Linked DNA regions of Anolis sagrei. The protein of the gene in region 1 interacts with the protein of each later gene in a biochemical or structural test. Links are inferred from orthologs where the notes say so. Each region holds a gene or a part of one and is shown in the gene's direction. Other genes may lie near its edges.

What was found.
Region 2: the proteins of ABL1 (region 1) and ERBB3 form a complex in vitro, tested with the Homo sapiens proteins (2 studies listed by BioGRID and IntAct, with this or other methods). The link is inferred for Anolis sagrei from reciprocal best matches to the Homo sapiens genes ABL1 and ERBB3.
Region 3: the proteins of ABL1 (region 1) and DOK1 form a complex in vitro, tested with the Homo sapiens proteins (5 studies listed by BioGRID, with this or other methods). The link is inferred for Anolis sagrei from reciprocal best matches to the Homo sapiens genes ABL1 and DOK1.
Region 4: the proteins of ABL1 (region 1) and PRKN form a complex in vitro, tested with the Homo sapiens proteins (2 studies listed by BioGRID, with this or other methods). The link is inferred for Anolis sagrei from reciprocal best matches to the Homo sapiens genes ABL1 and PRKN.

Annotation. Positions count from the first base shown.
Region 1 is NC_090031.1:2,821,931-2,830,099, reverse strand, and holds the start of ABL1 (tyrosine-protein kinase ABL1), read left to right. Parts: upstream 1-5,002; 5' UTR 5,003-8,169. Other genes in the region: EXOSC2 (exosome complex component RRP4), read left to right, coding at 1,814-1,894. UniProt on the Homo sapiens protein: Non-receptor tyrosine-protein kinase that plays a role in many key processes linked to cell growth and survival such as cytoskeleton remodeling in response to extracellular stimuli, cell motility and adhesion, receptor endocytosis, autophagy, DNA damage response and apoptosis.
Region 2 is NC_090022.1:146,696,534-146,704,380, forward strand, and holds the start of ERBB3 (receptor tyrosine-protein kinase erbB-3), read left to right. Parts: upstream 1-4,810; 5' UTR 4,811-5,074; coding exon 5,075-5,159; intron 5,160-7,847. UniProt on the Homo sapiens protein: Tyrosine-protein kinase that plays an essential role as cell surface receptor for neuregulins.
Region 3 is NC_090025.1:3,737,507-3,745,395, forward strand, and holds the start of DOK1 (docking protein 1), read left to right. Parts: upstream 1-4,742; 5' UTR 4,743-4,861; coding exon 4,862-4,930; intron 4,931-7,889. UniProt on the Homo sapiens protein: DOK proteins are enzymatically inert adaptor or scaffolding proteins. They provide a docking platform for the assembly of multimolecular signaling complexes. DOK1 appears to be a negative regulator of the insulin signaling pathway.
Region 4 is NC_090021.1:66,822,932-66,831,282, forward strand, and holds the start of PRKN (E3 ubiquitin-protein ligase parkin), read left to right. Parts: upstream 1-4,902; 5' UTR 4,903-5,128; coding exon 5,129-5,135; intron 5,136-8,351. UniProt on the Homo sapiens protein: Functions within a multiprotein E3 ubiquitin ligase complex, catalyzing the covalent attachment of ubiquitin moieties onto substrate proteins. Substrates include SYT11 and VDAC1.

The DNA of each region.
Region 1 (8,169 bases):
GATAACACAATTTGAGGATTTAGATAACGAACTGCAAAGACTCTGGCACAATAATAATATAATAATAACACTTTATTTATACCCCGCTACCATCTCCCCAAGGGACTCGGTGCGGCTTACATGAGGCCGAGCCCGAATACAACAGTACAAGCAATAATAACAACAACAACAGTACAAGCAATTAAAATAAAAACATAAACAATAAAATATACAACATTAGCGATAAGACAACACAAAATTAGAAACAGTGGGAAGGCCAAATGTAAAGTTAAAATGCTGGGACATGGACAAAAAGGTGATAGTGGTGTTTGTGGAAGGACAGTATTTATTTATTTACGGTATTTGTATACTGCTTTTCTCACCCCGAAGGGGACTCAAAGCGGTTTCCACATAGGTAATGGCAAAATTCAGTGCCAGCAGAAACAATTACGATTATACAATTACAGTTAGACATACATCAAATTAAAATACATCCATAAACAGTAGAACAATCATTAAAATAGTAAAGGTGGTCCCAGTGTTGATCTGCACACTGGGTGCAGTGCCTAAAGACCTTGGCCTGCACTTAAAAACAATTGGCGCTGACAAGATTGCCATCTGCCACCTGCAAAAGGCCACCTTACTGGGATCTGTACGCATTATTTGCTGATACATCACACAGTCCTAGACACTTGGGAAGTGTCCAACGTGTGATCCAATACAACAGCCAGCAGAGTGTCTGCTGTGGACTCATCTTGTGTTACTACCACTACTACTACTACTAAGAATATATTATAATAAAATTACAATTATTATAATATTTAAAATTATAAATGCGGGCTGAGAGTGGCGGTAAATAAATGCAAATAATAAATAAATAATAAATAAATAAATAAATAATATTTATAATAATAATAATAATAATAATAATAATTGGGTTGTTGTAGGTTTTTTCGGGCTATATGGCCATGGTCTAGAGGCATTCTCTCCTGACGTTTCGCCTGCATCTATGGCAAGCATCCTGGATTCTTGCCATAGATGCAGGCGAAACGTCAGGAGAGAATGCCTCTAGACCATGGCCATATAGCCCGAAAAAACCTACAACAACCCAGTGATTTCGGCCATGAAAGCCTTCGACAATACATAATAATAATTTCTTACCCGTCTCTCAAGCCAGGCTACAGACCAATTAAAACACGTAAACACTTGAAAAACACCTACAAATGCACATATTAAAACATACCTCTATAAAAGCTACACACAAAAACGTATCTATAAAATACATATTAAAATACGCAAAACAGAGAGTAAACAAAGCACACACATTTAAAATCCATCCTTATTTATTTATTTATTTACATTTATATTCTGCCATTCTCACCCCGAAGGAGACTCAGGTGAGATCACAGAACACATACACAGCAAACATTCAATGCCTTTAAACAGAGAGGACAAACAACAGATAGAGGTAGTATGTCGGCATTTTTCCCAACTTCGGCGTCCTGGAGGTTGTGCTTGATTCCGGCCACAGGAGGGTGCTGTCACTCCATCCTCTGTGATGTAGAGCCCTTGATCACAGACTTCCTCCTTCCTTTGATCGCTGGCATTTTCTGGTATTTCCTTTATATCTCCCCACTTAATTTCTCTACTCACAGCTCAGGTGGACAGTAAACTGAAGGTCCAGAGGTCACCCAGACCTGGGCTTCGAACTGCCAACCTTTTGATTGGTAATATCTATTGCTGCTGGTGATTTAACACCTGGCCTAGGTACTTGCCACTCACCTGCACTCCTATTGTGAGATCTGGAATCACTTCTCCGTTCATTCTATTGCAGATCAAGGATCTACTGAAGCCGGAGGTGATGGAGGAGATCGTTTTGGAGACTCGGCAGAGACTGCTGGAACTGGAGGGGTGATGCCTTCAAGAAGACGTTGCCCTTTTCTCCCTTCCTGTGAACGTTGGACTTCTTTTTGGTTATAGATTGTGTCAGATGAAATTCTTTGACGAAGGAAGTTCTTGATGCCGGTTAGAACAAAACGCACACGCCTGGTGGAGAATGATCAACCTCTCCTCGTTCTCATTTCACATCTTCTGGTGTCCTGTCCTTCACCTTGGGCTACCACTCTTGCACATTATAGCCTCCAGACATGGAACTGTGTTGGTTTTATACTTTGGAAGTATTGATTCATTGGTTTAGGTCCCCTCTGTGTTTCTTATTACTCAGGCATGGGCAAACTTCAGCCCTCCCTCTAGGTGTTTTGGACTTCAACTCCCACAATTCCTAACAGCCTCAGACCCCACCTACAAACTATGTGGAGCTTTTGGATCCATGGAGAACAATGGCCCCACCTTGGCACAAATGATGACGTTTGTATCGCTATGGTTGTGTTGTTATGCCAATAAGGCACCCACTTCTGGGAGCATTGCCCATTTAATTTGGGGGATTTATGGTTCCCGCGAACACCCAGTGGCCCTTGAATTTGGAGGATTGTAGCCTCATTAGACAATCCCAAAAAAAGTAAATTGACAATATCCCTACTTTCCTAATGGACCATACATTGATTTGAACCCGGCACATACTCTACTATTACCTTTCCTATGCAGTGGGTATAGCTGAGAGTTTGTATGATATTGCAAACTCTTCTAAAGTCAATTCCAGGTATAACTTAACTATATGGTAGGTATTTTTAAAATATTTTTTTTCTGTATTGGAAGTACTTAAATGCAGCCCAGTAAATTGTTTTTAAGAAAACACCCAAAATGAAAAGATCTCATTTTGTTGGGTTTTTTTCGCTAAGGGAAAAAAAATGTTGTGTCTTTGCTTTTTTCTTGCTGGTTCTGCAGGTAACTCTTCGCATTAGTGGGAAGAGAAGAGAGAAAGAAGAAAAGACAAGAGGGAAAGAAAGAAGGACAAAGGGGTGGAAGGGAATGGAGGGAGGGAGGGAAGGAAGGAGGAAAGAAGGAAGGAAAAAGGGGAAGGAAGGAAGGAAGGACAAAGGGGTGCAACGCAATGGAGGGAGGAAGGGAGAAAGACAGACGAAAGCATGGAAGAGAATGGAGGGAGAGAGGGAAGGGGGAAAGAAGGAAGGACAAAAGGGAAGGAAGGACAAAAGGGGGGAAGGGAATGGATGGAGAGAGGGAGCGAAGGAAGGGAAGGGAGAAAGAAGGGAAGGGAGAGAGGGAAGGAAGGAGGAAAGGGTGGAAGGGAATGGAGGGAGAGGGAGGGAAGGGAGAAAGAAGGAAACAAGGGAAGGAAGGATAGAAGGAAGCAGCTGGCGCACGAGCCTGAGCTGTGCAAATGCTCCCCTGGTCACCGCTGAGACCTGGGGCTCCAGGCTTAACGATGAGTCCAGGATCACACCCAAGCTGCGAACCTGCGCCTTCAAGGGGAGTTTACTCCTCTCCACACTCGCATGTCGTGGATTCCACTTTGTGGCCCCATTTCTGAAGGTTGGCTCTGCATCTCGTGGTGCCAGAGCGCAGTCTGTTCAGCGCCTTCCACGTCGCCCAGTCCTCTGTGTGCCCAGGGGGGAGTCTCTCATTGGGTATCAGCCATTGAATGAGGTTCTGGGTTTGAGCCTGCCACTTTTGGACTCTCACTTGCTGGGGTGTTCCAGTGAGTGTCTCTGTAGATCTTGATTAAAGACGTTGACATGCTGGCTGATACCCAAACAGGGGATGAGCTGGAGATGTCACTGCCTTGGTCCTTTCACTATTGGCTGCTCCTTCCCGGCGGATGTCAGGTGGTGCGATACCGGCCAAACAGTGTAATTTCTCCAGTGGTGTAGGACACAGACACCCCGTGATAATGCGGCATGTCTCATTCAGAGCCACATCCAGTATTTAGCGTGGTGAGATGTGTTCCACACCAGGCGTGCATACTCAGCAGCAGAATAGCACAGCGCAAGGGCAGATGCCTTCACTGTGCCTGGTTGTGATCCCCAGGTTGTGCCAGTCAGTTTTTGCATGATATTGTTTCTAGCGCCCACTTTTTGCTTGCTGTTCAGGCTGTGCTTCTTGTAGGTCAGAGAACGGTCCAGAGTGACTCCCAGGTATTTGGGTGTGCTGCAATGCTCCAGTGGGATTCCTTCCTTCCCAGGTAATCATCCTCAGAGCTCGGGATGCTTCTCTGTTCTTGAGATGAAAGGCACATGTCTGTGTTTTAGATGGGTTGGGGATCAGCTGGTTTTCCCTGTAATAGGCAGTAAGAGCACCTAAAGCTTCTGTTCAACTATGTCAAAGCTCCCTGCTTGAGCGGTGATGGCACGATCATCAGCATAGATGAAACTCTCTGTCCCTTCTGGCAGTGGCTGATAATGTTTGTACATATTGAACATGGATGGAGCAAGCTTCGGAGAGGCAGTAAGAGCGCCTAGAGCTTCGGAGAGCTTCTATTCAACCATCTCAAAGCTCCCTGCTTGAGCGGTGATGGCACGATCATCAGCATAGATGAAACTCTCTGTCCCTTCTGGCAGTGGCTGATAATATCTGTACATATTGAACATGGATGGAGCAAGCTTTGGAGAGGCAGTAAGAGTGCCTAGAGCTTCGGAGAGCTTCTGTTCAACCATCTCAAAGCTCCCTGCTTGAGCGGTGATGGCACGATCATCAGCATAGATGAAACTCAGTCCCTTCTGGCAGTGGATGGACTGGATGATGGCCCATCAGGTCTCTTCCAACTCTAGGATTCTATGATTCCATTTTTGCCCCTCGTGAGGTGATTTAGAAGCCACTTTTTTCATTTTTGTGTGTGGGAAAAATCCCCTATTCCCTGCTAAATGAAGGAAGGCGTGGTATATCCAGAGTGTGAGGCTGGGATACCTGGCCCTTTCCTGAGGCGAGGCTTCCCACAGGTGTGTTTGCCCTGTGAGGAAGCGCCCCTCCCAAAATGGCGCCCCTTTCCTTCCACCCACACCCCCAAAAGGCTAGGCCCGGGAGGCTGGGGACTCTCCTGGGAGGCTTCCCCGGGCTGCTGCTCCTCCCCTCGCGGCGAGGAAGGGGCGGAGAAGGGGGCGGGCGAGAGAGAGAGGAGGCAGGCCGGCTCCCTTCCCTTCCCAACATGGCGGCGGGGCGCGCTGAGGAGGCGCCGAGCAGGGCCGCTTCCTAGGCCCCCTCCTCTCCATTAGTACGCCTCTCTCGCGCCTTCCTTTCCTCTCAGACTCTCCCCTCTCCCTCCTCCTCTAGTTAGTCCTCCTTCCTGCATTTCTTTCCCTTCTTTTCCCTCACCCTCTTCTCTCCAATCTTTCACTTCCTTCCTCATCTATTTTGGGTTTTTTGCCAGTGGGTCAGGTGTGCCTTTCTTTCCTTCACCCACCCCCTCACTCTTCCTTGATTCTGACTCCATTCTCCTCATTTTGGGGAGAGTTTTTGTGAGGGGAAATCTGCACTGCATTCCCTCACTTTTCCCTTCTTGTCCCCTTTTTGTGGTGGGCTTTTGTGAGGAGAAATCTGCATTGCATTCCCTCATTTTTTCTGGGGGTGTTTGTGCCTTTCTTCCCCTCTTCCACCCCTCACTCTTCCTTCTTGATTCTTACTCCATTTGCCTCATTTTGGGGAGAGTTTTTGTGAGGGGAAATCTGCATTGCATTCCCTCACTTTTCCCTTCTTGTCCCCTTCTTGTGGTGGGCTTTTGTGAGGGGAAATCTGCATTGCATTCCCTCACTTTTCTGGGGGTGGTTTGTGCCTTTCTTCCCCTCTTCCACCCCTCACTCTTCTTCCTTGATTCTTACTCCACTCTCCTCATTTTGGGGAGAGTTTTTGTGAGGGGAAATCTGCATTGCATTCCCCCACTTTTCCCTTCTTGTACCCCTTTTGTGGTGGGTTTTTGTGAGGGGAAATCTGCATTGCATTCCCTCACTTTTCCTTTCTTGTTCCCTTTTTGTGGAGGGTTTTTGTGAGAGGAAATCTGCATTGCATTCCCTCACTTTTCCTTTCTTGTTCCCTTTTTGTGGAGGGTTTTTGTGAGAGGAAATCTGCATTGCATTCCCTCACTTTTCCTTTCTTGTTCCCTTTTTGTGGAGGGTTTTTGTGAGGGGAAATCTGCATTGCATTCCCTCACTTTTCCCTTCTTACTCCCTTTTTTATTGTCGGCTTTTGTGAGGGGAAATCTGCATTGCATTCCCTCACTTTTCTGGGGGTGTTTGTGCCTTTCTTCCCCTCTTCCACCCCTCACTCTTCTTTCTTGATTCTTGCTCCACTCTCCTGCTTTACATCCTAATTTTGGCCTGGGGTTCTTTCTCCATTCTCCTCATTTTGGGGTGGGTTGTTGTGAGGGGGAGATCTGGTCTCATTCCCTCACTTTCCCCTTCTTGTTCCCTTTTTTATTGTCGGCTTTTGTGAGGGGAAATCTGCATTGCATTCCCTCACTTTTTCCTTCTTGCTCCCTTTTTGTTGGGGGCATTTGTGAGGGGAAATCTGCATTGCTTTCCCTCACTTTTCCCTTCTTGTCCCCCTTTTGAGGTGGGTTTGTGTGAGGGGAAATCTGCATTGCATTCCCTCACTTTTCTGGGGGTGTTTGTGCCTTTCTTCCCCTCTTCCACCCCTCACTCTTCTTTCTTGATTCTTGCTCCACTCTCCTGCTTTACATCTTCATTTTGGGGTGGGATTCCTTCTCCATTCTCCTCATTTTGGGGTGGGTTATTGTGAGGGGGAGACCTGGTTTCATTCTCTCACTTTTCTCTTCTTATTCCCTTTTTGTTGTGGGTTTTTGTGAGGGGAAATCTGTGTTGCATCCCCTCACTTTTCTGGGTGTGCGTGTGTGCCTTTCTACATTGCATTTCTCATTTTTCTGGTGGTGTTTGTGCCTTTCTTCCCTTCTTCCACCCCTCACTCTTCTTTCTTGATTCTTACTCCATTCTCCTCATTTTGGGGTGGATTGTGAGGGGGAGATCTGGTTTCATTCCCTCACTTTCCCCTTCTTGCTCCCTTTTTGTTGTGGGCTTTTGTGAGGGGAAATCTGTGTTGCATCCCCTCACTTTTCTGGGTGTGTGTGCCTTTATTCCCCTCTTCCACCCATCACTCTTCTTTCTCGAGTCTTACTCCACTCTCCTGCTTTACATCTTCATTTTGGGGTGGGATTTTCTGAGGGTGGCATCTGCATTGCATTCCCTCACTTTTCTGGAGGTGCTTGTGCCTTTCTTCCCCTCTTTCCCTCCCTCACTCTTCTTTCTTGATTCTTACTCCATTCTTCTCATTTTGGGGAGGGTTATTGTGAGGGGAACATCTGCATTGCTTTCCCTCACTTTTCCCTTCTTATTCCCTATTTTATTGTGGGCTTTTGTGAGGGGAAATCTGCGTTGCATTCCCTCACTTTTCTGGGGTTTTTTTTGTACCTTTCTTCCCCTCTTCCACCCCTCAGTCTTATTTCTTGATTCTTGCTCTACTCTCATGGTTTACATCTCCAATTTGGGGTGGCATCTGCATTGCTTTCCCTCACTTTTCTCACTCTCTTATTTATTTATTTTTGTATTAATCTCCGCATTTTCCCCCACACACCCCCTTCGTTCCCCCCAACCTGTTTCCTAATTCTTCACCTTCTTAATATCTCCCTTTTTTCCCTCCTCAAAACTGTTTGAAATATTAAATATTTGGGCTTTATGTGAAGGGCAGGACCTGTGCATTTCTTTCCTTTTCCTTTCTTCCTCTCCATTATTTATTTGGCCATTTCTTTCCCTCAGTTCTTCGCCTTCTTTATTATCCCCCACTTTCCCTACTCATATTATTTAAATATTATTTTTGAGTGTATGTATGTGAGGGAGTTTTTCTTTCCTTCCTTCACCTACTTGAATTCTTGTCTTTCCCCCCAAAATCACCCTCTTCTTTAGTAGCCTTATTCTTTTCCTCCTTACTAAGTTTGACGTTCATTTTGGGGATTTGTATGTTTCTTTCCCTCACTTCCCTTTCTTCTCCCTATTAGTATTATTATTATATTGTCCTTTGTTGAGGGAACCTGCACAATCCTTTCCTTCATGTTTTGCTCTTCTTTTTCACTCCGTTTTTTACATTCTTTCAAAGTCAGTCTTCACTAGCCCCTCACAACTATTGATACTAAATTTGAGATGAGCGGTGTATTTTCACCCTTCTTTCATCGTATTTTCTTCCACTCAACCCAAGCAAACTATCTCCATCTTTCCTGCTAGTATTCTTGTTGCTATTTCTACTTTTTTGGGGGTCCTCTTCTCTCCAGAGATT
Region 2 (7,847 bases), on another chromosome or scaffold:
CATCCATCTTGCCCTTGGTCGGCCCCTCTTCCTTTTGCCTTCCACTTTCCCCAGCATAATTGTCTTCTCTAGGCTTTGCTGTCTCCTCATGCTGTGGCCAAAGTACTTCAACTTTGTCTCTAGTATCCTTCCCTCCAATGAGCAGCCGGGCTTTATTTTCTGAAGTATGGACTGGTTGGATCTTCTCGCAGTCCAAGGCACTCTCAGAACTTTCCTCAAAAGCATCTATATTCCTTTGCTCAGCCTTCTCTAAGGTCCAGTTCTCACATCCGTAGGTTACTACAGGGAATACCATGGCTTTGACTATGCGGATCTTTGTTGCCAGTATGTTGCAGTAATTTTGACTATTTTTAGGATGTTGACTTTAGGATGGTAATTCCAGTTTATAACCACAGGGGGGCGCCAGAGGGTGGCCACAGGTGCCTTTCCTGTCTCATTCCCAATCCCATCCTAAGGAGCTACATTCCAATTGGCAAGGGTGGTTATTATAATATTTTAACAGGGAGAGAATGTTTCCTTGTGTCCTAGCTCTGTGTACTATATTAGAACAAAAACATAAGGTAGTTGGGAAGGAAGAATTACAAGAAGGTAGAACAGGAAAATAGACTGGAAACTATTTGGGAAAGACTGGGCGAAGCAAAAGGGAGGAACCCCAAAGCTTATGAGTACAAGACTATTCAAAAAACGTGAACACTTAAATGTCTTATAAAATAATGATGCCTCTTAAACCAGTGGCAATTTGTGGCCCTTTGGATGTTGGACCAGATCAGCATCGCAGATGGTGGTGGATGATAGGCGTTGCATCTTAATAGCATCTGGAGGGCCACTGACACCTTCCTTGCCTGCCTGGCATCTTCTGTGAGGCTTGTTTAGACTGAATTCTGGGCTGAAGGAGAGCCCAAGGTCCTAATTAGGTCAAGGTAACCTTTTCCTCTTTTGTGTCACCCGTTTCCTGTGTGTGACTCACTCTCTGGGTGGAGTGGAGAGAAAGCAGGGGTTAAAACGCAGCAAGGTTTTAAGAAACAGGGTGGACAACAGTGGGTTGAGTTTTTGATCTCCGGATCAGTGCCTAGGCAGGACTTCAAGGTGGCCACAATGAGGAATGGGTCTCAACTTGAAGGTTGTTTTTAAAAGAGAATAAAGGTCTTAGGGCAGGCATGGGCGAACTTGGGCCGTCCAGGTGTTTTGGACTTCAACTCCCTACCGGCTGTTAGGAATTGTAGGAGTTGAAGTCCAAAACACCTGGACGGCCCAAGTTTGCCCATGCCTGCTTTAGTGACTCCAAAATTCTGGGACTGAACACATTTCAGGACACTTGATACTCATCAAGCTACAAATCCCAAGATTCCATAGCATTGAACTAAAGTGATGTACAGTTGAATTATTCTACAGTATAGATGCACCCATAGTACTCAGCTAATACTATGGGGCCACAGTAGCGCAGCGGGTTAAACAGCTAGCTGCAAGAAATCTGCTGACTGGAGAGTTGGCAGTTTGAAGCCGCAAGTCGGGGTGAGCTCCTGCTGTCAGCCCTAGCTTCTGCCAACCTAACAGTTCAAAAGCATGTGGGAAGGTAAAAGGGCGCCGGCAAAACACAATTAGAGATGTCTACGGACAACAGGCTCCTTGGCATGGAAAAATGGAACAAGAGCACCTCCCCATGGTTGGAGTTGAGCATCGCTTCCAGACGCTGGAAATGAAAAGGAAAAACTTTTACCTGTGTCTGTGTATTGTATGTCGTTGTTGTTCACTGGGTAAAAGGCATTGAATGTTTGCCTTATATGTGTATACAGTAGTCTGCTCTGAGTCCCTCCGAAGACATAAAGAAGAATATAAATAAAGTGTTGAAGTATTCCATTGCCTTGGACAGCATTCAGTTTCCCCTCTGCTTATGTACTACAATTTATTTCCCTTTGAGGAGTTGTAGGAAAACAAACATTTCAGTAGTGTTAGGGTTAGGAAATAATTCATGAATGTTTCTTATTGCTCTGCATTCGTAATTTACTTGTAAATTAACGTTAACTGTATCCCTGTTGCTGGTGCACTGCTTTCACATATTTCAGTTTGATGCAAACAATTAGAAACATAGCTCTGTTTAATTTTCAAAACATGTTCTGCACTTTGGTACGAACAGCTGTGGCAAGAAGCTCTTTTAGGCTTTAGCCAGTGGAATCCTATCCATGTCTACTCAAGTGAACATAGTGGGACTTGCTTCTAAATAAATATGTATTGAGTTTCAGCTTGAGAGCAACAGAGAAGTTAGACATCTTTCTGCTCCGATACAGACATCATTCACCCTTTGAAAAAAAAATCAAGCACTGCTAACAAATGTCCAAACTCTCCACATTAACCTCAATGAAGCGTAGAGAACTTCCTTTCCCCCAAATAGTTGTGGCTTTGTGGTTCACACTTCATGGTTCAGCCTTGATTGTTATCCTCCTGCTTCCTTGCCTACTCTGGTATATACTCACAGACTATGGTTGGAGCCCCCGGTGGCACAGTGGTTTAAGCTGCTGAGCTGCTGAACTTGCTGATCAAAAGGTTGCAGGTTTGAATCCAGGGAGCGATGTGAACTCCCACTGTAAGCCCCAGCTCCTGTCAACCTAGCAGTTTGAAAACATGTAAATGTGCTGGCCACATGACCTTGGAGGTGTCTACGGACAAGGCCGGCTCTTCAGCTTAGAAATGGAGATGGAGGGAGTTTCAACAGATGTTGCCTCTGCATGAAATTCGCTCATCTGTACAATCATTAAAGGTACGAGAGTCTTCTCTTGTTTTTAAACTAAGAGTGATAGAGTCCTGGGAAGTGTAGTTTAGCCTCATCTGCTCTAAATGTAGTTTGAGGTGTTGACAGACTCCTGCTGTTTTCATGCCAGTATAATGGTAAATGCCAAAATTCAGGCTGTCATCATAACAGCGTTTTAGGGAAACCCATAAAGTGGCCAGAAGGTCAGATTGTTGGGTAGATTATTTTATATATAAACATTTGTGTCATAATGGTTTGTTGGAAGGCTTTCATGGCCGGAATCACTGGGTTGCTGTGAGTTTTCTGGGCTGTATGGCCATGTTCCAGAAGCACTCTCTCCTGATGTTTCTCTCACATCTATGGCAGGCATCCTCAGAGGTGTGATTGGAAACTAAACCCCACTTCTCTAGTTTTCAACAGACCTCACAACCTCTGGAATCATTTTAACAGGTTTATTGTTTTAATAATTACAATATTTAATTCTATTTTAATATTTGTATTTTGTAGGTTTTCAAACTGTGTAGTTTCTAAGGCTGAGAGCTATTCTGAGTTTAAGTCCTGGAAGAACAGCAAGATACAAATAATAATAATAATAATAATAATAATAATAATGCAAAAGATCACAGGGGCCATCCAGTCCAACCGGGTGCCATGCAGAAACACACAATAAAAGCATAATAATAATAATAATAATAATAATCATCATCATCATCATCATCATCGTCGTCGTCGTCATCATCATCATCGACAAAATCACGATTTGTCAACTGCAAAAGGCTACCTTACTTGGATCTGCACACATCTTTGAAAATACATCACACAGCCCTAGACGCTTCGACTTGTGATTTTGTGATACAATGGGGTTGGACTGGATGGCCCACGAGGTCTCTTCCAACTCTGATATTCTATGACTAGCAGTCTCCTGCCACACATTGCTGTGGCCCAGTCTGGTGATCTGGAAAAGTAAAGAGAAATACTTGTAATATTTTTGTGCTTGTGGGTAGACAGTATTTCTTTATTTCTTGCTGTTTCTTTGTCAGTGTTGATGTGGAGATGGCCTGGTTTGCCTCCTCTAGAAAATGCAACATATCATTGTCCTTCTTTAGGGGTCCCTTTCAAATCTACGAGACTATATGTGTGTGTGAATCATATATATCTATCTATATCTATGGCTGGATGGCTCTTTCTCAGGAGGGATTTCATTACGTTTTCTTGCCTTGGTGAAGGGACTGGATGGCCTTAAGTATTTTCTGTTGATCATGGGGGTTCTGTGTAGGAGGTTTGGCCCAATTCTGTCGTTGGTGGGAGTCAGAATGTTATTTGATTGTAGGTGAACTATAAATCCCAGTAACTACAACTCCCAAATGTCAAGGTCTATTTCCTCCAAACTCCACCAGTGTTCACATTTGGGCATATGGAATGTTCATGTCAAGTTTGGTCCAGATCCAGCATTGTTTGAGTCCAGAGTGCTCTCTGGATGTAGGTGAACTACAACTCCCAAACTCAAAGTCAGTGCCCACCAAACCCTCCCAATTTTTTCTGTTGGTCGTGGGAGTTCTGTGTGCCAAGTTTGGTTCAGTTTCATCATTGGTGGAGTTCAGAATGCTCTGATTGTAGGTGAACTATAAATCCCAGCAACTACAACTCCTTAATGACAAAATCAATTATTTTGAGTGATGGTCACTATTTGGGTTAGTAGGTGTCTTGTGTCCAAATTTGGCGGCAATTCGTCCAGTGGTTTTTGAGTTATGTTAATCCCACAAACGAACATTACATTTTAGATAGGTAGGTAGGTAGATAGATAGATAGATAGATAGATAGATAGACAGACAGACAGACAGACAGACAGACAGACAGACAGACAGACAGACAGACAGACAGATAGATGATAGATAGATAGATTCTATGACACTGGATTGTTGTAGGTTTTTTCTATGACACACACTCTCTTTCCATTCCTGGATTCTGGAGCTCCCTCTGGCTTCCCTCTGATTGGTCAGAGCGCGGCGCAGTCCCAGCCAATGAGGCGCGAGCTCGGCTTCCCCTTGAATGAAGTGTGTGCAATTAGTGAGTTGTGGTGCGTAAAGGGGAGCGGATCAAAGTCTGTGCGCTGAGCGGGATCTGGGGGCCAGAAAGAGATCCGGCCCCAAAGAAAAAGAAACAGAAGAAGAAGAGAGGGAGGAGGAGGCGGCGATGGCCGACTGAGACCTTTTCCTCGGGGATCAAGTGGCTCCGGACTCTTGTTCATCCCGAAAGAGGAGGAAAGAGCCGCCTATGCGGAAGGAAAGCGGAGGCAGCACCTGAAAGAGTCCCAATCCCCGTTCAGCCATGAGGCAGAGCCTCCCGGGGCCAGGTCTCCTCCTGGGGCTGCTTTCTCTCGCGGGGTTCCTGCTGCCCGCCGCCTCTCAAGCAGGTAAGACCACACAACAACAACAACAACAAGTGTATGGATGTTCATTTAAGATCTATTTTCACCGCGGGCGCGTTGATCAGGGCAGGACTGGTTTTGGTTTTGGTCTTGCTCTTCCTGGAAATCCGAGACCAGGTGTTTGAGTCTCTCTCTGTGTCTATCTCTCTCTCTACTTTCGGTTGATCCTAGGTTTCGCTCAAACGTGACGGCTTTGGACTCGATTGTCCATCTGTATGGTCGAATTAACACTAAGGGGAGTTTAATTGGAGCCTTAAGTGCGTTCATTCAGCATTGGGGCAGATGCCCTCCGAGGGTTAGAAGGGAGCAGACCACCCCCTTGTTGTGTCAGCTCCACTGGCTGGCGGTCCACTTCCCAGCTCAATTCAAAGTATTGTCGAAGGCTTTCATGGCCGGAATCACTGGGTTGTTGTAGGTTTTTTTCGGGCTATATGGCCATGTTCTAGAGGCATTCTCTCCTGACGTTTCGCCTGCATCTATGGCAAGCATCCTCTGCTGGTTTTGACCTACTTGACCCAGCTTACTTGTCTGAACACATCTCCCTCTACGTCCTGCCTCGCAATTTAAGATCATCCGGAGAGGCCCTGCTCTCGCTCCCACCAGTGTCGCAAATACGTCAGGCGGGGACGAGAGACAGGGCCTTCTCGGCTGTGGCCCCCCGCCTGTGGAACTTGCTTCCCACTGAGGTAAAATCATCCCGGGGGCTCCTGCTCTCATTCCTGCCATCGTCACAAATATGTCTGGCAGGGACGAGAGACAGGGCCTTCTTGGCTGTGGCCCCCCGCCTGTGGAACTCGCTTCCCACTGAGGTAAGATCATCCCGGGGGCTCCTGCTCTCGTTCCTGCCATCGTCACAAATATGTCTGGCAGGGACGAGAGACAGGGCCTTCTTGGCTGTGGCCCCCTGCCCATAGAACTCGCTTCCCACTGAGGTAAGATCATCCAGGAAGGCCCTGCTCTCGCTCCTGCCAGCATCACAAATATGTCTGGCGAGGATGAGGGACAGGGCCTTCTCACTGTGGCCCCCTGCCTGTGTAACTTGCTTCCCACTGAGGTAAGATCAGCTCCATCCCTCCTGTCATTTAGGAAGAAATTGAAGTCATGGCACTTTGGATATGGAATTGGCTGGAATTATGTTATGGCTGTTCATACTTTTTTATGCTGTTTTAATGAATGTTTTACTTATTGTTTGAATTGTGATTATATTGCTGTGCTATATGTAGTGGTATCAAATTGCTGCCAAATGTAAGCTGTCCCGAGTTCCCCTTTGGGGGTTGAGAAGGAATGGGATAGAAATACTGGAAATAAATAAATTAGAAGGCGTGGCATGTGTGACTGCGAGCATGTTTTCTCGCACCCCCCCCCCCCCCAAAACCCGCAGCAGAAACTTCCAAGGCAAACTTTTAGGAATCCATGAGATCTTGTTCCGCCAGCTTTGCAGCTCTCTGCCTGCGGGTGGAGTCTGCCTGCCTGTGGAGTCTGCCTGCCTGCCTGCCTGCCTGTCTTTCGGAAGGCTTTTGGTTCAGTTCTCAAAGGGCACCTGTTGAGGCTGTGATAGAGGAGGGCCAAGGCTGGAACCCCTCCATCCCACCCCTGACCCGGGAGGCGCATCTGTTGGGACTTGCTGCTCTGTCCCTTGAAAAGACAAAGCCCAGAATCCCCGGGGTCTCTTCCCAACCAGGCACTCAGGGCCCTTCCTCACAGTCATGCAACCCAGAATGTCAAGGCAGAACATCCCACATTATCTGAGTGTGGACTCAGGGCCCTTCCACACAGCCCTATATCCCAGGATATCAAGGCAAAAAATAGCACAATATCTGCCTTGAACTGAGTTGTCTGAGTCCACACTGCCATATATTCCAGTTCAAAGCAGAAAATGTGGGATTTTATTCAGCTGTGTGGAAGGGGCCTCAGATGACCAGTTCAAAGTAGATATTGCGGGATTTTCTGCCTTGATGTTCAGGGCTATAGGACTATGTGGAAGGATCCTCAGGGCCCTTCCACACAGCCATCTGCTTTGAACTGGGTTATCTGAAGCCCTTCCACACAGCTGAATAAAACCCCACCTTATCTGCTTTGTACTGGGATTTATGGCAATGTAGACTCAGGGCCCTTCCATGCAGCACTCTATCCCAGGATATCAAGGCAGAAAATCCCACAATACCTGCTTTGAACTGGGTTATCTGAGGCCCCTTTCACACAGCTGAATAAAACCCCACATTATCTGCTTTGTACTGGGATTTGTGGCAATGTGGACTCAGGGCCCTTCCACACAGCCCTATGTTTTGGTGCCAAAGGATATCAGGGCAGAAAATCCCACAATATCTGTTTTGAACTGAGTTATTTGAGTCTACACTCAGATAATGTGGGGTTTTCTGCTGTTATATTCTGGGTTTTAGGGCTGCGTGGAAGGGCCCTGAGTCTACACTCAGATATTGTGGGATTTCCTGCCTTGATATTCTGGGTTACATGGCTGTATGGTAGGGCCCCGAGTCCACACTTCCATATATTCCAGAACAAATTGGATTTTCCACAGCTGTGTGGAAGGGTCCTTGGGCCCCTTCTACACTGACATATAAAATCCAGATTATCTGCTTTGAACTGGATTATATGGCAGTGTAGACTCAGATAATCTGGTTCAAAGCAAATAATGTAGATTATCTGATTTCATAA
Region 3 (7,889 bases), on another chromosome or scaffold:
AAAGATAGATAAGATTCCAAAAAGCAATAAGGCATTCAAAGGCAGCAAGATAAGACAGTGTCCAAACGTAGCAATCAAAAGCAATGTCCAAAAAGCATGAAAATACAATCCAATGATTATCCAGACAAGAATCAAACAAGAAGCAAGAACAGACCAGACGCTGCTAGTCACCTTGAAAGGCTAGAAAAAATCCATGAAGACAAGACCACTTAAACAGGAATTCCATGAGGCTTGTGCTTGGTTTCCAAACGATGCCTGATCTGACAAGATTTTCTACAGGCAAACCTTAAATCCCAAAAACTGGTTTCGTCTTCCCCCAGGCTCTGACCTTAACTGATGAATTCTTTTTATCAAAAAGTTCATGAAAGCCTCTGGAAGCTTGCGAAGAATCCATGGAAAGTTCCTAAGTCCATTAAAGTTTATACAAGTTTTTATAAAGTTCATGAAAGTTTATAAGAACTCATAAGAGTTCATGGGGGGGGGGGGGTACATGGAAGTTCAGGGGAGCACTGAATAGTCAGACTCCATTCATAAAAACAGGAGGAGAGATAGGGGATTATGGGATCAATTCAGCCTGGTGTCCTTGGCAAAACTACAAATTCCCTGATTATGAGCTATCTTTTACAGAGTCTTGGAAGGGAAGGGGGGGGGGGGTCACCTCTGATCACAAAGTGATCATACCATCATAGAATCCAAGAGTTGGAAGAGACCTCATGGGCCTTCCAGTCCAACCCCATTCTGCCAAGAAGCAGGAATATTGCATTCAAAGCACCCCTGACAGATGGCCATCCAGCCTCTGCTTAAAAGCTTCCAAAGAAGCAGCCTCCACCACACTCCGGGGCAGAGAGTTCCACTGCTGAACGGCTCTCACAGTCAGGAAGTCCTTCCTCGTGTTCAGATGGAATCTCCTCTCTTGTAGTTTGAAGCCATTGTTCCTTTGCGTCCTAGTCTCCAGGACAGCAGAAAGGAAGCTTGCTCCTCCTCCCTGTGGCTTCCTCTCACATATTTATACATGGCCCTTATCATGTCTTCTCCCAGCCTTCTCTTCTTCAGGCTAAACATGCCCAGCTCCTTAAGCCGCTCCTCATAGGGCTTGTTCTCCAGACCCTTGATCATTTTAGTCGCTCTCCTCTGGACACATTCCAGCTTGTCAATATCTCTCTTGAATTGTGGTGCCCAGAACTGGACACAATATTCCAGGTGTGGTCTAACCAAGGCGGAATAGAGGTAGCATTACTAGCATGTGATTGTTACATTCAGGCCAGTATTTTCAAAGGCCAGTTTGCTAACTCTGTACTGTAGCTTCATTGCCACATTCCTTATTGTGATGTTATGCAACCACATTCCCTGGTTTTGGAAGAGGGGTGTGTGTATGCCTCTGTGTGTGTGTGTATGTGTGTGTGTGTTCAAGAGCCAGGGAGCCATTGCACCAGATGTTTTTCTTCTCCCGTCAGCGGTCAAGGAAGAGGCCCGATCCCCATCCCTTCCAAATGCACAGCAGGGAATGTGTTCTGGGCCCTGTTTCTTGGGAAAAGGGGGGGGGGGAATGGTTCACAGCTTGCTTCTCGATTGATGGCCAGCTGCCTGGGGAGCGAAAACAAGAGCCAGGAGCTGCCAAGGCTCTTCTGCGGAGAGAAAGGGGATGACAAAGAGAAGAGGGACAAATTCTGGGAAAGGGAATGTTTTGCATTAGTGGATCACTGTGTCAAATTAAATGTGTTGAATTAAAGCTTCCAAACCAGGCACGGGCCAACTTCGGCCCTCCCTCCAAGTGCTTACTGAAGACGTAGCCCACTGTTTAACATCTGTTGGGCCATTTGGATAGAACGGCAAAACATCCGTAATTTGGGTTGCTGTGAGTTTTCCGGGCTGCCTGGCCATGTCCCAGAAGCATTCTCTCCTGACGTTTTGCCCTCATCTATGGCAGGCATCCTCAGAGATTGTGAGGTCTGTTGCAAACTACGCAAGTGAAGTTTATATATTTATTTGTTTATTGTAGTCTCGAAGGCTTTCATGGCCGGAATCACTGGGTTGTTATAGGTTTTTTCGGGCTATATGGCCATGTTCTAGAGGCATTCTCTCCTGACGTTTCGCCTGCATCTATGGCAAGCATCCTCAGAAGTAGTGAGGTCTGTTGGAACTAGGAAAATGGGTTTATATATCTGTGGAATAATGCCCAGGGTGGGACAAAGAACTCTTGTCTGTTGGAGCTAGGTGTGACTGTTTCAACAGACCACCTTGATTAGCATTTGATTGCCTGGCAGTGCCTGGAGCAATCTTTTGTTGAGAGGTGATTAGATGTCCTTGTTTGTTTCCTCTCTGTTGTTGTGCTGTTGTAATTTCAGAGTTTTTTAATACTGGTAGCCAGATTTTGTTCATTTTCATGGTTTCCTCCTTTCTGTTGAAATTGTCCACATGCTTATGGATTTCAATTGCTTCTCTGTGTAGTCTGATATGGTGGTTGTGAGAGTGGTCCAGCATTTCTTTGTCCAGGTTGGTTCCTCAGGTGCTCTGCTATGGCTGATTTCTCTGGTTGAGGGAGTCTGCAGTGCCTTTCATGTTCCTTGATGCGTGTTTGGGAAATGCTGCTGCGTTTGGTGGTCCCTCTGTAGACTTGTCCACAGAAGCATGGTATCCGGTAGACTGATGCAGAGGTGAGAGGGTCCCTCTTGTCCTTTGCTGATCCCTCTTTGTCTTTTGCACTTTCATAGAATCATAGAATCAAAGAGTTCGAAGAGACCTCCTGGGCCATCCAGTCCAACCCCATTCTGCCAAGAAGCAGGAATATTGCATTCAAATCACCCCTGACAGATGGCCATCCAGCCTCTGTTTAAAAGCTTCCAAAGAAGGAGCCTCCACCACACTCCCTCCGGGGCAGAGAGTTCCACTGCTGAACGGCTCTCACAGTCAGCAGTTCACTACTATTGGAGAATTGCAAAAACTGCAAAACAAACCTCTATACAATTATTATTATTATTATTATTATTATTATTATACTCAACAGGTTCCTGGACCATCTGAACAGCATCCACCCAAACATCCAGTTCACTATGGAAAAAGAAAATGAAGGAAGACTGCCTTTCCTAGATGTCCTAGTCATCCGCAAACCAGATCAACAATTGGGTCACACTGTCTACAGAAAACCCACACACACAGATAGATATCTACATAAAAACTCCAACCATCACCCAAGTCAAAAAAGAAGCACCATCAAAGCCTTGGCAGACCGTGCCAAAAGAATCTGCGAAGCCCACCTCCTCCAAGAGGAACAGAACCACCTCAACTGGGCTCTCCAGGCCAATGGAGACTCCACCTCAGACATCAGAAGAGCGGCAAGACAACCGAGAAGAAGCCACGAGAGTCAAGATGAAGATCCACCCAGAGGAAAAGTGTTCCTGCCAGACATCAAGGGAACCACTGACCACAGAGGGAAGCTGATGAGGAAACACAACATACAAACAATCTACAAACCCACCAAGAAAATCCAACCAATGCTCCGTTCAGCAAAGGACAAGAGGGATCCTCTCACTTCTGCAGGAGTCTACCGTGTACCATGCAGCTGTGGACAAGTCTCCATCGGGACTACCAAACGCAGCAGCATTGCAGACTAGGTCAACCAGAGAAGTCAGCCATAGCAGAGCACCTGAGGAACCAGCCTGGACACAGCAGATTGAGAACACAGAAATGCTGGACCACTCTCACAACCACCATGCCAGGCTATACAGAGAAGCCATTGAAATCCACAAAAAGCATGTGGACAATTTCAACAGAAAGGAGGAAACCATGAAAATGAACAAAATCTGGCTACCAGTATTAAAAAACTCTAAAATTACAACAGCAAAACAGCAGAGAGGAAACAACCAGGCACATCTTAACACCTCTCAACAAAAGGTTTTCCCAGGCTCAGGCAGGCCTTCACATGGTAATGAAGGTAATCAGCTGAAACATTCACACCTAGCTCCAGCAGAGAAGAGCTCTTTGCCCCACCCCAGCCATTCCACAGATATCTAAACCCATTTTCCTAGTTCCAACAGACCTCACACCTCTGAGGATGCTTGCCATAGATGCAGGTGAAACGTCAGGAGAGAATGCCTCTAGAACATGGCCCTATAGCCTGAAAAAACCTACAACAACCCAGAGATTCTGGCCATGAAAAGCCTTCGACAATACATTATTATTATTATTATTATTATTATTATTATTATTATTATTATCCCAATCTGATGGCCATTCTTGTGCTTTCCATATTTGCTGGATTATGCCATGCAGCACCTATGAAACATAAATAAGAGCATATATACAAAGAACCCCATTGGCTGGCGAGTGCCCACTGGTGGGCAGCCTTCATAATTGCAAAAGCTCCCTCCAAAAAAGTTCTTCCTGCGCATGCGCCACAACTACCCCCCCCGCCCCCCCAAATACCTGTCCTCACCTGCCAAGCTTCCTTTTCTTGGAGGGAGGGGTGGGTTTTCCCCTCGTTAAGCTCAGGCACTAAAGCAACTTGGGCCCTCCCTATCTCCCTCCCTCCAGGTGTTTTGGACTCCAACTCCCACCATTCCTAACAGCCTACCGGCTGTTAGGAATGGTGGGAGTTGGAGTCCAAAACACCTGGAGGGAGGGCCCAGGCTTGCACCAAAGCGTCCCAGGCACTCTGCACATGCCCAGAGGCGCCCTGTGTGTGTGTGTGTCCAGTGACGCGCCTGGAGGGAGGGGGGGAGGAAGCCCCTCCCCTTCCGAAGAGGCTCTCTGGGGCGGGGCGGCTCCTGCTTCCGATTCCACCCGCGGGAGTGGCTGGTGTGGCTGCTACAGTGTGTCTGTCTTCCCGGTGCCTTGCTCGCTCTCTCTCTCTCTCTCTCCGGATATGGACCCCCCGGTGAAAGCCGGGACCCTCCTGGTCCAGCAAACGGCGGGACTCCGCCTGGGCGCCAAGGTCAGAGGAAGAGGAAGGAGGAGGAGGAAGAGTTGGGGAAAAGTTAGGAAAGTTTGGAGTTAGGAGAGTTAGGAGAGGGGGAGGAGGAAGACCTAGAGGTGCTTTCTGCCAAACTTAGGGAGAGGAAAGGGAGGAGGAGGAAGGAGAAGAGGAAAAGGAGGAGGAAGAGGAAGAGTTGGGGAAGTTTTGTGCTCAAGTTAGGGAGAGGAAGAGGAGGAGGAAGAGGAAGAGCTGGAGGTGTTTTCTGCCAAACTTAGGGAGAGGAAATAGAGGAGGAGGAAGAGTTGGGGAAGTTTTGTGCCCAAGTTAGGGAGGGGAAGAGGAGGAGAAAGGAAAAGGAGGAGGAAGAGCTGGAGGTGTTTTCTGCCAAACTTAGGGAGAGGAAATGGAGGAGGAGGAGGAAGAGGAAAAGGAGGAGGAAGAGTTGGGGAAGTTTGGTGCCCAAGTTAGGGAGGGGAAGAGGAGGAGAAAGGAAAAGGAGGAGGAAGAGCTGGAGGTGTTTTCTGCCAAACTTAGGGAGAGGAAATGGAGGAGGAGGAGGAAGAGGAAAAGGAGGAGGAAGAGTTGGGGAAGTTTGGTGCCCAAGTTAGGGAGGGGAAGAGGAGGAGAAAGGAAAAGGAGGAGGAAGAGCTGGAGGTGTTTTCTGCCAAACTTAGGGAGAGGAAATGGAGGAGGAGGAGGAAGAGGAAAAGGAGGAGGAAGAGTTGGGGAAGTTTGGTGCCCAAGTTAGGGAGGGGAAGAGGAGGAGAAAGGAAAAGGAGGAGGAAGAGCTGGAGGTGTTTTCTGCCAAACTTAGGGAGAGGAAATGGAGGAGGAGGAGGAAGAGGAAAAGGAGGAGGAAGAGTTGGGGAAGTTTGGTGCCCAAGTTAGGGAGGGGAAGAGGAGGAGAAAGGAAAAGGAGGAGGAAGAGCTGGAGGTGTTTTCTGCCAAACTTAGGGAGAGGAAATGGAGGAGGAGGAGGAAGAGGAAAAGGAGGAGGAAGAGTTGGGGAAGTTTGGTGCCCAAGTTAGGGAGGGGAAGAGGAGGAGAAAGGAAAAGGAGGAGGAAGAGCTGGAGGTGTTTTCTGCCAAACTTAGGGAGAGGAAATGGAGGAGGAGGAGGAAGAGGAAAAGGAGGAGGAAGAGTTGGGGAAGTTTGGTGCCCAAGTTAGGGAGGGGAAGAGGAGGAGAAAGGAAAAGGAGGAGGAAGAGCTGGAGGTGTTTTCTGCCAAACTTAGGGAGAGGAAATGGAGGAGGAGGAGGAAGAGGAAAAGGAGGAGGAAGAGTTGGGGAAGTTTGGTGCTCAAGTTAGGAAGAGGAGGAGGAAGAGGAAAAGGAAGAGTTGGGGAAGTTTGGTGCTCAAGTTAGGAAGAGGAGGAGGAGGAGAAAGAGGAAAAGGAAGAGTTGGGGAAGTTTGGTGCTCAAGTTAGGAAGAGGAGGAGGAGGAGAAAGAGGAAAAGGAAGAGTTGGGGAAGTTTGGTGCTCAAGTTAGGAAGAGGAGGAAGAAGAGGAAAAGGTGGAGGAAGACCTAGAGGTGTTTTCTGCCAAACTTAGGGAGAGGAAAGGGAGGAGGAAGAAGAAGAGGAAAAGGAGGAGGAAGAGTTGGGAAGTTTGGTGCCCAAGTTAGGAGAGGAGGAGGAGGAAGGGGAGGAGGAAGACCTAGAGGTGCTTTCTGCCAAACTTAGGGAGAGGAAAGGGAGGAGGAGGGAGGAGAAGAGGAAAAGGAAGAGTTGGGGAAGTTTGGTGCCCAAGTTAGAGGAGGAGGAGGAGGAGGAAGACCTAGAGGTGCTTTCTGCCAAACTTAGGGAGAGGAAAGGGAGAAGAGGAAAAGGAGGAGGAAGAGTTGGGGAAGTTTGGTGCCCAAGTTAGGGAGAGGAGGAAGAAGGGGAGGAAAGGGAGGAGAAAGCGTTGGGAAAGTTTTCGGATAAAGTTAGGAAGAGTGAGAGGAGGAAGAAGGAGAGGGAGGAAGAGGAGGAGGAAGAGTTGGGGAAGTTTTCTTCTGCTGTTAGGAAGAAGAGGAGAAAGGAGGGGAGGAAGAGAAGGAGGAGAAAGAGCTGGAGGTGTTTCCTTCCAAACTTAGGGAGAGGAGGCAGAAGAAGAAAAGGAGGAAGAGTTGAGGAAGTTTTCTTCTGATGATAGGAAGAAGAGCAGAAAGGAGGGGAGGAGGAGGAAGAGCTGGAGGTGTTTCCTGCCAAATTTAGGAAGAGGAAAGGGAGGAGGAAGGGTTGGGGAATTTTTATCCCAAAGTTAGGGAGAGGAAGAAGAAGAGGAGGAGGAGGAAGAGTTGGGGAAGTTTTGTGCCCAAGTTAGGGAGAGGAGGAGGAGGAAGAAGAGGAGGAAGAGGAAGAGCTGGAGGTGTTTTCTACCAGACTTAGGGAGATGAAAGGAAGGAGGAAAGGGAGGAAATGTTTGGGAAGTTTTTTGCTAAAGTGAGGAAGAGGATGGAGGAAGAGGAGGAAAAGTTAGGGAAGTTTTGTGCCAAAGTTAGGGCAAGAAGGAGGAGGAAGAAGAAGAGGAAGAGGAAGAGGAGGAAAAACTGGAGGTGTTTTCTGCCAAACTTAGGGAGAGAAAAGGGAGGAATATGGGGAGGAAAGGGAGAAAGCATTGGGGAAGTTTTCTGCTAAAGTTAGGAAAAGTGAGAGGAGGAAGAAGGAGAAGAAGTGGAGGAGGAAGAGCTGGGGAAGCTTTATGCCCAAGTTAGAGAGAGGAAGAGAAAGAAGGAGAGGAGGAAGAATTGGGGAAGTTTTCTGCTAAAGTTGGGAAGAGGAGGAAGAGGAAGAAGTACAGAAAGAGGAAGGAGGGGATGAAGAGGCGGATGAGGAGAGGAAGTTCTAATCTGAATTTTGCCAAAGTTGGGGAGAGGAGGAGGAGGAGGAAGAGCTGGAGGTGTTTCCTGCCAAATTTAGGGAGAGGAGGAGGAGGAACAAGAAGAGGAAGGAGAGGAAGAGCTGGGGAATTTTTATGCCGGAGTTAGGGAGAGG
Region 4 (8,351 bases), on another chromosome or scaffold:
GAAAAGCTTTGGCAAGAATTCTTGCCCTAACAGCAAGCTTGGCCGCTTCCTTGGCCTTTTCAGTTATATTTCTTTTGCTTTGTAAAGCTGATAGCTGGGCTTCCATTTCAGCTTGCTGTATAGCCTGCTTAGCTTCTAGTTGAGAGAAATCTAGCTCCTTCACAGCCATAGCCGATTCAGCTTCTGCCTGCAATATTTGCGCCTTGAGCTTCATCCTCTCAACTTCTTTGAAATGTTGAGCTGCCACAGAAGAAATCTTACTGTGGGAAGATGAGGCACTTTTGCTGGAATGTACACTGGAATGTGAACGGTGGCTAAGTGATCTGACACTTAGGGGACGCTGAGGGTAGAAACCCTTGCTGGACTTGGGGCTTCTAGGAGGGGATAAAGAGTAAGCCTCCCTCAGCTGAAATTCCTGAAGCTGAAACTGTGCAGCTTCAAGCACGGCATTAAATTCTCTTTCTTTACTTTGATAGTCCAATGACAATGCTTGCAGTCTTGCTTGGGCATCATCATCATTGATGTTTGTAAGGACTTGTTGTTGCCTTTCTATACTAATTTTCCAGAGTAAAAAACTATCCTGGAGCTCTTCTTTGTGCACTGCTATTACCTCAGGGTCTCTGGAGGCTGACAAGGTGTTCATGCTATACTGCACGTGTTTCCAAGCACTTTCTGCCTTCACAATTAAATGACTTTCCCTTTCTAGCAACAGCTGTAGGGCCTTCTCTGTGGGGTGCCTAACCCTATGTGAACGGGAAATGTGTACATGTCTGTCTGCACTTCCATCAGAAAGCCCATCCATTCTTGTTGTATGCTGGTTGCTGAGGCAACAACTCTATGTGGGTGAAGAGGACTGAGTGTGAGGCAAAATGTTCACACAGCCTACTGTCACCACCTATACTATAACAGCAAAACAACAATTTACTGGAATAGGTATAAGAGTCTTCTAACTCCTTTTCCTCAGAAAAATGCCAGAACAGGCGCCAAAACACCTTTTCCCGCTCTTTCTACACTATCAGCACAAAATCCCATAGAAATCTATGTATACTGGTGAAGGCAAAATGGCCGCCGCTTCTTTTTGAGGGGACAATAAGGCTGTCACAGTTCTGATGTTACTATAATAGGATGAACACAAAATGGCTGCCAAACTGTAAAAAACCCCTTTTGGCGCCAAATGCCCCCTTAAGACAAATAGCAGGTGCTAGCTTTGCCCTTTTCACTCTCTGACAGGAAACAAGCCTCCAATGTCTTTTAAAAGGGCAGGCAGGCAGCTTTTTTACTTTAAAAGCTGCCCCTAACTCTCCTTACTATAAAAGTATTCAATTTAGCAACACTTCACCCAAGTATTCCTATAACTTTGTTACACTTTCCAATGGAAAAGTGGAAACAGTGCCTTTTTCTCTCACACACCCTGAGGGAGAGGGCTCTCTCTTTTCTTTCTATAAGCGATCCGAATCGGCCACAAGGCCGATCAGGCTCCCAATCACTATGTAAACAGTGCTTTTTCTTCTCTCACACCCCCTTTGCAGGGAGTGGGCTCTCTCTTATAACTTTCTATAAGCAATTTGAATCGGCTACAAGCCGATCAGGATCCTAATCACTGTGATGGCACACCAGGGAGATCTAATGAAAAACCCAAATGTGTCTGGCTATTTTCCCAGTGACCATCGATATGCCCTAATTACTATAATTCCCCCAAAATAAAACTCTATAAACAAGATTAAGTTTAACCAAATTGAGTTTACTAAACAAACAAGATGAATTACAACAATGTACAAAGGTGAAGATTAATTATGATGGTATAACTGAGGTAAATATAACTATACACTATGGGGGATGATGTAACTATCTATCTATGACAAATATTATCTATCCTTTATTACATATATTATCTATAAACTATCTATCTAACTATCTATAACTATTCTATGGCAAATACAACTATCTACGAACTATCTATTATAAACTTTAGGGCAAATACTATCTATAAGGCAAATACGTGTTATAAACTTTAAGGCAAATACGGCTATAACTATTCTATGTATATTACTATTTATCTATAAGCTTTGGCAAATACGTGATTAGGATGGCCTGTTCAAATTGCTTGGCCAGACCAGACACTATCTGGCAACTATCTATAAGCTAAGACTGACAAAGAATGGGAAACGAAGTTCTATAACCAGCCCATTCTGGCTCTGAGTCAGAATGGGCTGCACCAACCGAACTCGGCCTCTAGGGGAACCTAAGCTCTCCCCTAAACTTGGTAAAATGGAACAGTCCAACTGAGAAATAAACAGGCCGAGACATCACAGTGCCATTTTGATCTCTCTGGGGCCGGTATTCCAAAGCATTTCAAGCTGCATTATATGGCAGTGTAGATCCAGCCTTTTTCTTCCATGGCTATATACTGTGGCATCATGGAAGTTGTAGCTGCAGGTCTTCAGACTTCTCTGCCAAAGAGCACGGGTTCTCCATCAAACTACAGCCTTCCAGATTACCTTGCATTGAGCCATGGCATTAAAGTGGTGCCAGACTGCATTAATTCTACAATGTGTTGATGCAGCCCATCTTAGGACCTAAGGCTAAACACAAAATCCATGTATATGTCATATACACCTGTTGAGTTTTATTAATCTTATATATAACTGTCTAAGGTTCTCAAAAGCATTCATTTTGATTCTTCATCATCCTGTATCCCGGTTTACATCATCATAAGACTCTGAGCTATAGTCAAACTATTTGCATTGAATTTAGACTATAGAATAGATGGAGAAACCAGGGAAAAATAATTAAACACTTGAACATAGTGAGATATAAATATTCAATAGTATTCTCATACGTTTGTATTATGTAAAGAGAAATCAAGGGTGGAGATTCACGGGTGGAAATGAGGAGGTCGTGGGACTGAGGAAATAATACTTGTATTTCAATTGTTTCTATGTATGTATACATATTAAAAATAAAAAAATCTTAAAAAATATACACCTGTTGAAAGTGCAGTATGCTTTAAAGAACTGATTATTATATATGTACACAAGATGAATATAACCAAACATACCAAAACAATTGCATTTTGCCTTCTGCTTCTTTTCCTTTCACTAGTATATTGTTTTAAATTTTGATACAAGAAAATTACACTTTAAAAGTTCATTGCAAAGGCATTCAAATATTTTAGAAGTAAGAACTAGGTTGCATAATTTTCCCCCAATTTTTAGGCACCCTGATTAAAATTATCATCTGTAGGTCTAATGCACTCACAAATGCTTTCATTATTCTAATTTAGTACATGTTTTGCATTCATCCTTTATTTGTTCTTGAGGCTGACTTCTGGAGAGTAAATCTCTCATTGCTGCCTATAAATATAGTCACTGACCTTCTCTCCCTTGCTGTCTAACATCACTTTTTATATTTACACATTTGCTAAACTTGGGGACCAAAGAGAATGTGCTTTTTTCTCTCTTGCAAAGTGTGTTCCTATAAATAATGGACAGGGGGATGAATGATCAATACAAGACAATAAATGGTTAACAGTTCAACAATCTCCACAGAGTTGCTGTGAGTTTTCTGGTCTGTATGGCATTTTGCCGAGACGTCTATGGCAGGCATCCTCAGAGGTTGTGTGGTCTGTCAGAAATTAGCCAGATTGAGGTTTATATATCTGTGGGGCTGGGGGTGGTAACAGCGGACAGGGAGCTCTGGCGAAGGCTGGTCCATGAAGAATCGGTCCATGGAAGTGACTGAATGAATAAACAACAACATATCTGTGGAATGCCCAGGGTGGGGGGAAAAACTCTTCTTTGTTTGAAGCAAGTGTGAATGTTGCAGTTGGCCACCTTGATTATCATTTAATGGCCTTGCACCTCTGAGGATGCCTGCCAAAGATGTGGGTGAAATGTCAGGAGAGAACGCTCTGAAACACGGCCATACAGCCTGGAAAACTCACAACAACCCAGTGATTTTGGCCATGAAAGCCTTTGACAACTCAGTATCCACAGAAATGTATGTATTGTTTAATGGTAGCCATGCAGAATATTTTAAGGCGAAATAAATATACCCATACTGAAGAAGAGTTGTTATAATGATTGAGGATGCATCTGCACAGTTGAATTAATGCAGTTTGACACCACTTTACCTGCCACAGCACAATGCTAGGAAATCCTGGGATTTTTAGTTTAGGCAGGCACCAGCTTTCTTAGGCAAAGAAAGCTAAAGACCTTGTAAAATTACAGATACCACCACTCAATAGTATGCTATAGAGCTGGCATGGAAAAACTCTGGCCCTCTGGGTGTTTTGGACTTCAACTCCCACAATACCTAACAGCCTCAGCCACTTTCCTTTTTTACTAGTTAACGTGGCGTGACTCTGCATAAATTCAACAGTGTAGATGCATTCTTAGTCACCTACAAATTCCACCTGAAATTACAATTTTGTGTAAGGTGTTCAAATGACACCAGTGAGCAGCAATGCAATCACTGATCACATGGTCGAAGCACAGAATTGCAAACGTTGCATAAACGTTTTGCTTTGATTTTGGCAATATATTTATGTATATGTGTGTGTGTGAATATATATATATATATATATATATATACACACTGAAATATTACTTTTTAAAGGTATATACATTTTTGGTAAAATGTTTTTTTTTAAATCCACAAATGTTATAAAAACAGACTTCTACAACTGGAAGACAACACAAGAGACAATCCCCAAGGCTGGTGCAACATTGTGAAAATAGATAAGATTGAAACATAAGTTGCTAAGGATGTATAGAAAGCAACCTCTCCCCTCCTTTCCTTCTATTGAACAGGGCCAAGCAAGAGGCTGCTGTCTCCACGCGCCGTGACGTCACCCACAGGCGGGGGGGGGAGGTAGCTCTGGTCACGTGACACACACCCTTACCTACACACACTACTCATTGAATTCAGTAGCTGGAAGAGGTGAAGGCGCGGGCAAGGCGGCGAGAACTACGTTTCCCAGAAAGCACTGCGAGGTTCCCCGCCCCGCCCCCGCCAGCATTGCGTCTAAAGTCCGGCCGGCCTGCAGGGAGCGTAGTCTTCAGAAGGTTCAGACTTGAGTGGCGGAAAGGACGGGGGTTGAGAGCGCCCCCTTCTCCCACCGCTGGCAATGATAGGTGAGTGGGACCCGGATGCAGCGTGTGTTTCCCCCTCCCCGTCCCCTTCATTGGCTCTCTCCTAACAGAAGGAGGGGGATCTCAGGGAAGCAGAGGCTGGTCTGCTCCAAAATACTTTTCTCATGTTGAATAATCTAAAACACTTAATTCCTAGGCGCACATACAGGGTGTTCCTCAAAATTGTATACACTTTTAGCAGATCATAATTCTATTTTTGGCATTCCCCTCCCCCCCAAGTATACCCCTTTAACAGCTTGGAATTTTGGGATTTCTTTGCATTTTTAGAGCCAAAATATATGTCACTTTAACAACTTGCAATTTTGGATATTTTTTTTACCCTTTTCCCCCCAAAAAACATCTATTCCCTTAACAGTTTATAATTCTGGATTTCTTTTTCATTTTTTACAAAGAGATGTACAGCCTTTAACAGTTTACAATTATAGATTTATTCCAACTTCCTTATAAAACATACATTCTGAAAAGTCTAATTCCAGTTCTTTTTTTTTTCCTTTGGCAATCCCCTTCCCAACATTTTAAAAAAATTCTCTGCCACCCCTACCCCAAATATATAAAAGATCCCAATACAGGTTGTCCCTGAGTTACAAACATTCGACTTACAAATAACTTGTAGTTAAGAAAGGGGCTGAGAACAGAAAGTGAGAGAAATCTACCCCTAGAAAGGGAAAATCACTCCTGAAATTTTTGAAAAACATACATATACAGATAACTGTGAGCAACAGGATCATAGATAAATATATTGCTAGAGAAGACTTGAAGAAGGTTGTCATTTCCAACATGAAAGAGTCATCATGGGGAAAGGGAGTCTCCACTGAAGCTTTCTCACCAATCCTTGTTTCCACAACAAACCAAATGATCCAAAATCCAATGGCCACAGAGACAGAAAGGGAGGGAAATCTTCTGAACAGGGACACAGATAGTAAAACAAACTCCACAGGATTGTTAACCCTTCTCTATATTACCCATCTATACACACACACACACATATACATACACACACATATATATATATTATATATGTATTTATAACATTTTCTCACCCGGGAGGGGACTCAAAGCGGTTTTCACATAGGTAATGGCAAAATTAAATGCCAGCACAAACAATTACAATTATACAATTACAGTTAGACATAAATCAAATTAAAATACATCCATATACACACTCTACACAAACGCACATGCACAGCTGGAATTACACTTTAAAAATGTACCTGTTCCAATTTGTAACTTGGGCACTGTAGAAAGGTGTTGTGCAATTATAAACAAAACATTAAGGGAAGTTGGCAGCAATGTACTTTACAATGTGAACAGTTGAATGGCTGCACAGGAATGACAAATTTGAACATATTACCATACAGTGGTAATAAATCATTATTGTAATGTTTATACGTCAATATAAAGATATTTCCTTAGCCATAAAGCAGTCATAATTACTAACTGTGAAAAGTTGTCTACATTTGGGGAGGGGCTATCAATCTATGTATACACACACACCACTTTGCCAATTCTACAGGATTCCAATATTATTTAGGTGCCTAAATATAGTCAGCAATCCATATCCACAAATTCTGCATTTGCAGATTTGACCAGCCATGGCTTGAAAATATTAAAAACAAAAGACATGTATGGGACACAACTTTACTGTATATAATAGGACTTGATCCAAGCCCTAGTGGAGACCACGGGCTCATTGTAATCTAAAGGCACCCAAACACATCTGATCTTAGAGGCTAAGTAGGGTCAGGCCTGATTAGTACTTGGACAGCAGATCATCAACAAATACCAACAACTGTAATCTGTACCAATATTTCAGAAGAAGGAATGGACAAACCCACTTCTGAGTACTCCTTGCCTATGAAAACAGTATGTTATTCATAAGTTGATTAAAAGCAGCATACACATAAGTGGTAATGTATACAGTATTGCCTTAGGCTCTATTCAGAGGAAAGCAATGGAAAACGCTATAAAATTTATGGGATTTCCATAAGTTTACAGGCAACACACACAAAGATATCCAGGTATCTCCAGATACTGCACTGTTCAACTTAAGGGAATGTATCTTATGAAGAAAAACCTTTTCTTTTCATTTTCAAAGTAGAATATCCCAATACACTGCAGCCCTCAAGCTTTCTGATGCTACTGCTTCTTCTGTGCTGGCAGCACAGCTGCTTTTATTAGAGGCCTGCAGATAATCTACAGGTGATGGGGATGAAGAATCGATACATACCAACCCTGTTTCCCTTCCTAGGCCCATAGGACAATCAGTTTAATTATTTGGAAATATTTTGTTGATCAGGGCTTCTTAAACCTTTTCCTCTCACAACCTTTTTAACGTAAGATATTTTTATATGAGCAAGTAGGTATATAAATAGGCATACAAATCAATCTTTTACTGATAAGAAATCAATATCTGCATGGCTTTCTAAACAGAATGATTTTCTTGTTTCTGGAGTATAGCTGAAGCATTTTCTGCAGAGTCCACTGTAAACACTGCACATTGTTGTTAACAGAGTTGCAGAAATGAATGGCATCCAGCAACCTTCTACTGTTGCCAATTTTTCCTGACCCCAACATTGAGCAAAGGGGATCCCGTTTGGGGTCAAGACCTATAATTTAAGAAGCAGTGTTCTAGATTATCGGATCTGCCTTTTAGCTGCATTTTGTTTCAATCCAATAGGTGGGCCTTCATGAATCACATATAAATGATGTGACTAAAAGCCCTTCCACACAGTCCTATATCCCAGAATATAAGAGCAGAAAATCCCATGTTATCAACTTTGAACTGGGTTATACGGCAATGTGAACTCAGATAACCTAGTTCAAAGCAGATATTGTGGATTATCTGCTTTGATATTCTGGATTATATGGCTGTGTGGAAGGGTCCCAAGACAATAAATATCATACCAATACTGGAAAAGAGTAGAGAGGAGAGAAAGCCCCTTCGTCTGAGCAGCAGGGCTATGTGAGTGAAAGGCGGCTGTGGTTTGCCAGTTGCCTCTTCTCATTTTGTTCTTTTGGAGGGTTGTCTGTAATGATTTCTTGGATCTGCACAAGGATTCTGTCAAATACGTTCTTTTAAAAAACAAACATTGTGTTTGACCAAGGTGGCCCTGTGCTCTCCTTTTCGATCTTTTAAGAAGCAGAGGTAGATAGTGCAAAAGTATCATTTCATTGTTGTTCAAAAGTATCATTTCATTG